Xenopus tropicalis: one gene and its partner. The protein of the gene in region 1 purifies or fractionates together with the protein of each later gene. This does not show direct contact. Links are inferred from orthologs where the notes say so. Each region holds a gene or a part of one and is shown in the gene's direction. Other genes may lie near its edges.

Evidence for each region. The genes of interacting proteins can lie anywhere in the genome.
Region 2: the proteins of runx2 (region 1) and ubtf purify together in Homo sapiens (co-immunoprecipitation; 3 studies listed by BioGRID and IntAct, with this or other methods). This does not show direct contact. The link is inferred for Xenopus tropicalis from reciprocal best matches to the Homo sapiens genes RUNX2 and UBTF.

Annotation. Positions count from the first base shown.
Region 1 is NC_030681.2:147,583,313-147,586,961, reverse strand, and holds part of runx2 (runt-related transcription factor 2), read left to right. Parts: intron 1-242; coding exon 243-529; intron 530-3,649. UniProt on the Homo sapiens protein: Transcription factor involved in osteoblastic differentiation and skeletal morphogenesis. Essential for the maturation of osteoblasts and both intramembranous and endochondral ossification.
Region 2 is NC_030686.2:18,523,301-18,527,049, reverse strand, and holds the start of ubtf (nucleolar transcription factor 1), read left to right. Parts: upstream 1-1,208; 5' UTR 1,209-1,635; exon of another isoform or gene 1,636-1,869; intron 1,870-2,004; exon of another isoform or gene 2,005-2,415; intron 2,416-2,443; exon of another isoform or gene 2,444-2,585; intron 2,586-2,646; exon of another isoform or gene 2,647-2,943; intron 2,944-3,036; exon of another isoform or gene 3,037-3,613; intron 3,614-3,749. UniProt on the Homo sapiens protein: Recognizes the ribosomal RNA gene promoter and activates transcription mediated by RNA polymerase I (Pol I) through cooperative interactions with the transcription factor SL1/TIF-IB complex.

The DNA of each region.
Region 1 (3,649 bases):
CACCCCGACAGCCTCACAGGGACTGCCCAGCGGGGGAAGCCGCACTCACTGTAACTGCCGCCCAGTCCCTCAGACTCGCTAGGGAGCCCTCCTGCTGCCCCACCGGTACCTGCTTGCCCCCCTGTGCCCATGCCGGGCACTGTGCCCTGTCAGTAAGTGGGTGCCGCATCCCCTCCTTGTTACCCCCCTGCTGCCCCCGCCTTGCTAATAACCCCTGGCTGTTGTGATGCGTATTCCCGTAGATCCCAGCACCAGCCGGAGGTTCAGCCCGCCCTCCAACAGCCTCCAGCCCGGCAAGATGAGCGACGTGAGCCCGGTGGGCGGCCCGCAGCAGCCCCAACAGTCCCAGCAGCCGCAGCAACAGGAGGGGGCGGCGGTCCCCCGGCTGCGGGCTCCCGATAACCGGACCATGGTGGAGATCATCGCGGATCACCCGGCCGAGCTGGTGCGGACTGACAGCCCCAACTTCCTGTGCTCAGTGCTGCCCTCCCACTGGCGCTGCAACAAGACCCTGCCGGTGGCTTTCAAGGTGAGTGCCGGGGGCTATTTACTAACCTGCCGCAGGGCCAGTGCAACTCGGCGCAATTCCCTCCTTCCCACCAAACATACCGCCTGCGCCCAAAATGCACCCACAGACTGTATCCAGCGCCACCCCGGTGCTGTGTATGTACAGCGGTATGGGCAACTTAGCGCCATCGCTATAAATAGTACATTTAGCAGAAGGCAGGTAGGTACGTGTTGCCAGTGAGCCCAGCAGTTGCCCCATCGCTTCTATACAGAGTGTATATATATAGTATATATGGAGCTAAATTAGCGTTATGGCTGGAAATAGCGCATTTACTAAATGCCCCCCAGACTCACAATGCAGGATTATTACCCCCATACTCCATTTCTATACTCACTTCTATCAGCTCATATGTTAGAATGTGTCTATATTGGGTCAGTGAGCCCAGCAGTTGCCCCTATCGCTTCTATACAGAGTATATATATATTATATATGGAGCCAAATTAGCGTTATGGCTGGAAATAGCGCATTTACTAAATGCCCCCCAGACTCACAATGCAGGATTATTGCCTCCATACTACATTTCTATACTCACTTCCATGAGCCCCTATGTTAGAATGTATATATATTGGGCATATTGGGAATATATGGGTCCTGTATTTCCATAGAGGGATCCCCATATCAGTTCTCTAAAGCTTCTGGGAGGAAATGTGCCCAAATGTGTCCCCAGTCCCTTATACACAATGTATCCATATTGTCACTATATATATATATATATATATTAGGGTCCAGGCAGCAGAATCCCAGATCCAGTTATACAGAACCAGAACCACTGCCAGTGCTCTATCCCTGTATATGGGAGATACCCCAAAGGCCCAGTATATCTAACTCAATTGCCCCCATCCCTGTTATATACATTTATATATACTGAACCCTCGTTAGACTGTATGTAGAATATTGCAGTTTAATAGAGACCCCTATTATTAAATCCCTATTATTATTAATGTGCCAGTGTCGCTGTGTTGCTGTGTAAACTTGGCACAGATGGCACATTGTATGTTTAATTCTATTCTTTTAACTGTGTGGAAGCGACTGCCCAGTGTAACATGGGGCAGAACTGCATAGTGCCGCTGTAGTGCCATTCCTACACATCTGCTGGGCACATTAACCAGCGAATGCCCATAATCCCATGCCAGCTTGGCTAGTGCTCCCCCAGTCACTGCTATATACTGGGCACCTATATACTAAACACCTTGTATCCAAAGGGGCAGCTGTTAAATGAAAGGCAGAATATTAAACCCATTCAGTGCCCCACAGACCCCCTGCCATGTACCCCATATGCCACTTTATCCCAGTGCCCAACTGCCAAGATCTGTACCAGGCATAATGTATAATTAGTTAAATGTCTAAAAATGCCCATTTTGCACTGGGGCCCCCCTGCCCGGCTGCTCTAACTGCTCTAACGCTTGTGCTGAATATGCTGCGGGGAGTAGAGAATAATGTTAAATATATGTAATAATAATATGTAATAATATTGTCTTTTCTGCTAATCAACCTACTTGCACCCTATAGAATTAATTGGGATTTTTATATATATTTATAGATCTGTTTGCTTTGTTTTATTTGGTAAATGGCTCAAATATCTGCTGAATTGGCATCAAGTTTTTCCTTAGTGAGTGGCAGTTCCCAATATAAATGTTTCCTAATAAAATCCACGTAGGGAGGGCACAGAGGGACAGATTCAGGCGTAATTGTAACAAGTGCCAGTTTGTATGGATCAATTTATTGGGCCTGGAACCGGAAGGGTTAATCTGTTGCTTGTGGACAATGTGGCTGATATTTTGTTGAGAATTCTGGGAGTTGTAGTTCTGCAAATTTCCTGTGTTTTTTTAGTTTTGGGGGGGTTTTTTTGTGCCATTTTGCTGGAAAAGAAAACGCTGACTATGGATTTGTGGCACATCTGGCAGCTGAAGGGTTAAAGCAATGTTGGGCATTTTTTTTTCTCTGTAAATCACTTTATGAGCGGTTTAGGAGTCAGATCGTAACTGGAAGGGGGGAATTTAAATATTGTCAAATTTCAAATTTTTAATCGTGTAAAGTTTTTTGTTTTGTTTTTTTAAAAAAAAATTCAATATTTTGATTTTTAATGTCTCGGAAAGAGCAGAATTCCAGTTGCTCGCCTTGCGTCGGTTTCGTAGGGATAGAAACGCGGCTCTATTGCCCCATTCATATAAGGGCCCCCTATTTGCCCCCCCAGGTGACACTTTCCTACTAGATTTAGAGGTTTGGTCTTAATCCGAGTGTTTACGTTTTTTTTCCATCCTGCGTTTGGTATGGGTTTCCCTTAGACCCCTGTGCCCAGCGTGGCTGCCAGCGTGCCAGTCTCTCAGTCCTACGCCGGGTTTCCAACTGCCCGTGCCTTTACGGCGGCAGCAGTTATTACCAATCAGGGAGTAGCACCCCAAAACTGCACTTTGCCCAATGAAAGATAATTCTAAGCAATATCCCAGTGCCTTTATGACGGCAGCAGTTATTACCAATTAGGGAGTAGCACCCCAAAACTGCACTTTGCCCAATGAAAGATAATTCTAAGCAATATCCCAGTGCCTTTATGACGGCAGGAGTTATTACCAATCAGGGAGTTGCACCCCAAAACTGCGCTTTGCCCAATGAAAGATAATTCTAAGCAATTTCCCAATATCCATTCCTTAGAAATGTCCATTGGAATTGATATGTGACTGTCATTGCTACTGAGATCTGTGCCCCTCTCTCCTGTTCCGGGGGGCTCTGACTGTGCAAATAATGTAGCAAGAAGTCTCTTCTCCTTCTGGTCTGTTAGCCGTCTGGCTTCGGCAACCTCTTTTCAAGAGTCAGAACCCACGGTGCAGAGGATATACACATTCAGTAGCAATTGCAAATCACTTTCAGCCCATTGTTTCATCTTTACTGAACACTGGAATATTGCTTAGCACTCTGCTTCCTTTCATAATGCAAAAAAGAAAAAGATTTTGGGAGCAGTTCCCCTTTAACATTAACCATAGTTTATAGAGCTGAGAATGTTGGCTATAGTAAACAGGGAAAGAGAAAGCACCAAGAGACAGGCTTGCAGGGGCTGCTGGGAGATGAAGTCCGACAATCCAGTAT
Region 2 (3,749 bases), on another chromosome or scaffold:
AGTGTTGTCTCAGTGTTCATGCCTCTGACCAATGGGCATCATAGGGGTTAGCACAAGTGGCATAACTTGGTTGCCCCCTGCATAAAAAGCTTTTGAGAGGGTCCGGCGCAACCAGTCCCTCCATCCGGCCAGACTGCACCAGTATATTTAAGGTAGGAAAGGGGCCTGGGAGGGGGGACTAAGGCACAGCAGACCCTGCAGTCGGGCCCCCCACCCCAGTCAGGGTTGGACTGGGCCCAAAACCCATGGCGCTCTCTCCCCTGTTGCACATAAGCTAAGACACACGGCAGAGGGAGTTGAGCAGACAGTGGGGGCCAGGACAGGGCCCCCCAGTTCAACCCTGTATATAGTTACACCCCTGGTTAGCACTGCTGTCTGGGTTTCATTCTAGCCTGGGCACTAGCTGCAACTCCCTGGGATTCCTCCCACACTCCAAATACATACAGGCAGATTAAGTGGTACTGATAAATTGACCCTAGTGAATGTGGTAGCAACCTTAGATTGTAAGCTCCACTGGAGCGGGGGCTGGTGTACAATCTCTGCTCATTGCTGCAGTGTCAGTACCATATAAATAAGGGTTAATAACTGTAAGGCGCAAAGCCCTTCCCCTGGCACAGTATGGGCTCCTGGCATCTCTAGCTGCTCCCCGCTCATTATGCCTGATTGCTGTTCATGTTAAAGAGAGAGAGAGAAGAAACCCTCCTTGATGTGCCAGGAAAGCTTCCCCCATGATTGGCTCCCTCTCTCTGACGCTTTCAACAACAAAGGTGGAGTCAAAAAAAAAATTAGGTTAAAAAAAAGGAGAAGATAAATAAGAGTCAGACAGGAACAACATATAGGGAATAAAAACCTGTTATGGGGGGTTTAGCGCCTGTGTATGGTTGGAAGCGCTGAGCAGCCAGCAGCCGCCGGATCTGAGCAGCCACCAAGCCCTGCTTCAACCATGATCACTGTATTGTTGGACTACAGCTCCCAGAATGCCCGCACAGCCTATCTGGGAGCTGTAGTTGGACAACAGCTGGAAGCAAATTGCTGCCGTATGAGGTGAATGTGAGGGGTGCCTGTAGCGGCAGCTGGTAATGGGGAGCAGATTGCGGTGCTGGCTGGATGGAGGAAAGGGAGGGATGGAGGGATCAGCTGGAGCCTGTTGCAGGGAGAGATTGGAGGGGGCCTGGCTGATTGGAAGGCTGTATAGGCACGGAGAGCGATGGAGGCGGGGGAAGTGCGAGCTCTCTGCGGGGACTGGGTCTGAGTCCACGCCCGGGGCCAGCGCTGCAGATCTGGCCATCATTCAAGCGCCGCTTCCCCAGCCTTGTACAGGGGAGGAGGAAGCCGAGCCCGGGCTGCACACACACACACAGGAGGTGGGTTTCACTGAGCTCCATAGAACTCCCCCGGAGCTGGCGAGGCCCCCCTGCCGGGCTGTGTAGGGTGCAGCAGCGGGAGGAGGAGGAGGCGGCTCCCCGCGTTCTGTCTGCCCGGCTGCTGCTGCAGCGACGCTGGGCGGGGAGAAGGAGCAGGCAGCGCCCCCCCTCCCCCGGAGCTCTCGCCATTACCCAGGGGCTGCCGCAGCCGCTTTGTCTCCGAGATCCGGACAAGCAGATTCCCCCCAACATCCCTGGGAGAGACAGTGGGGTAAGCCGGCTTGGGGGTCTGCGGGCACCTGGGGACGGATACGGCACAGATCGCTGGATTAGTATAAAATCCACTACCGGCCGGGGAATTTGTAGCCACCGAAGGGCGTTAGTGTGCGGGGAAACCCGGGGAAAATGTCACCTCCAAGCGGGCACGATTCAGTCGGGCTTGCCGAGAAACATGCACTTTTCTCGGTCACCTTGCGCGACTCACCCCGTTGCGGTTATGGGGAAGGTACGTGTAGCCTCAGTTTCCCTGCCCGGGCTCACCCTGCGGGGCATGGGTTTGTTTAATGCGGGGAAGGGCACTGTATGTGACGGGCAGTGTGGAACCCAATAAGGGCAATAGCAGCCCGGGTTCCCGCTGCGCCCTCTCCCAGGCACCCTCCCCTCGGGCTTTGGCTTGTTTTTCTCGGGAAGAGGCTGCTAGTTCCGCGCTGGGGCTGCTGAGGTCGCTCTCCCCCGAGTCTCCGGCTCCTCCTCCCCCCTTGGCCGGAAGGTGAGGCCCGGCAGCTGGGAACAAGGTAAGAGCTGCGGAGGGGGAAGGAGAGAGACGTTCCCAGGGGAGCAGAGAGGTGGGTGCCCGGGAAGATTGCGGGGAGCTGCGCCGACACGGCTCGGAGCACCGAAGGGAGGGGGCCGGGAACATGAGGCAGAGCTGGCCGGGGCTCGGGTGCATATTGCGGGGAAACGCGAGGGGGCGTCCGGCTGCTGTTGCGGGGCTTCCGGGCGCGACACGTGGGCTGGCAGGGGACTCGGGCTGGGGACGGCGCTTCTCACGGTGAGTAGGAGCGGAGAGGGGGTAGAAGGTGACCCTGTTTCCCGGGAAGAACAGATGCTGCCTGGACTGCGCTGCCGGTAGTTAAGGAGGCAGTCGGCCGGTGTCTAACGGGGAGCGAAAGAATCATTCGCGGGTAGAAGCGAAGGGACCCATTGTGGGCAAATAACGAGGTGGGTGAAAGTCGGCCGAGCCTGTGGCGCATTATACTACCGCAGGCAGCCCGACTGGATCGTCTGATGGTTTAACCATACGGGCTCTGCTTTAGCCGAATCCGATTCGGAGCCTTTCCCCGCACCTTGCTCAAGGCAGCCCAAGCGGCTTCCCGGCACAGGGTGAACGAGTCGGGGCTACCAGCGATCCCAATGAAAAGCGTTTTAAGGCGGAGGCTCCCCCTGGGTCGCGGAATGGGCTGATCCGTACTAGTGGAAGCCGTGCCGCGGCAGGGAAGGAGCGGACGCCGGAGCTACGGCTGGTCCATAACAAAGGGGGGAGCGCTTTTCTCGGGAGCCGCTGGTTCGGAAGCGGGCGGTAGGTTAGGGTGTATTCCTCGCTACGGACGGGGGCTCGAAAAGATGCTATTTACTGGTACGGAGAGTCAGAGCCCGGGGTGGGGGTTGGACTAAGCGGGATAGGGTGCCCGGAAAGCTGGTGTTTTGGTCCAGTAAGGACCAGCCCCGCAGGCATTACTCGCTAGGGTCAGGGGTTCCCGGGTGAGACGGTTCTTCGGTAGAGTCAGTGGGTTGTGTCAGGTTGGAGCGACCCCTCCCTGGGACTGGAGACGGGAGAGTACCGCTGGGTATGCGGCAGTGCTCAGTCGGGCCGCCCTTACGGCTAGGAACCCGGCTTTGCCTGGGGGTCGCTGCCGCGCTAATCCTCCCTCGCACCGGACTAGGGTTGTACAGTTACCGGGACCGCATCGCTGCTGCTTCCCGACGCGCCCAACAGGAATCCCGGCTCCCAGCCAGAAGTTCCTCCCTTTCGGGGGTGGGATACGTCTGCTCTTTCCGGATCCCGTCCCCTCCCGGTGCTGGGCGGGTGCTACGGTGAGAGGCGGCGGGGGCCCCCTGCAGGCAGAACGGAGAGTCCTAGCCCGACTCGGGGTGGGGAATTGTGACCTCAGAGCGCCCTTTCCTGGAAATAGAGCAGCGCTGCTTCTTAGTACCCAGTCCTGTAGCCGGAGCTCGGCCCGTACTGATCGGTGTGTTTGTATGGCAGCTCCTACGCCGTGTACGATTCCCTGCAACTGGCGCTGCTGTTGAAAACTGTAGTTCAGCATCAGTCACGTCACACACACATTTGCACTGCTGCCACTAGACTCGTTTGGGTTTAATAGC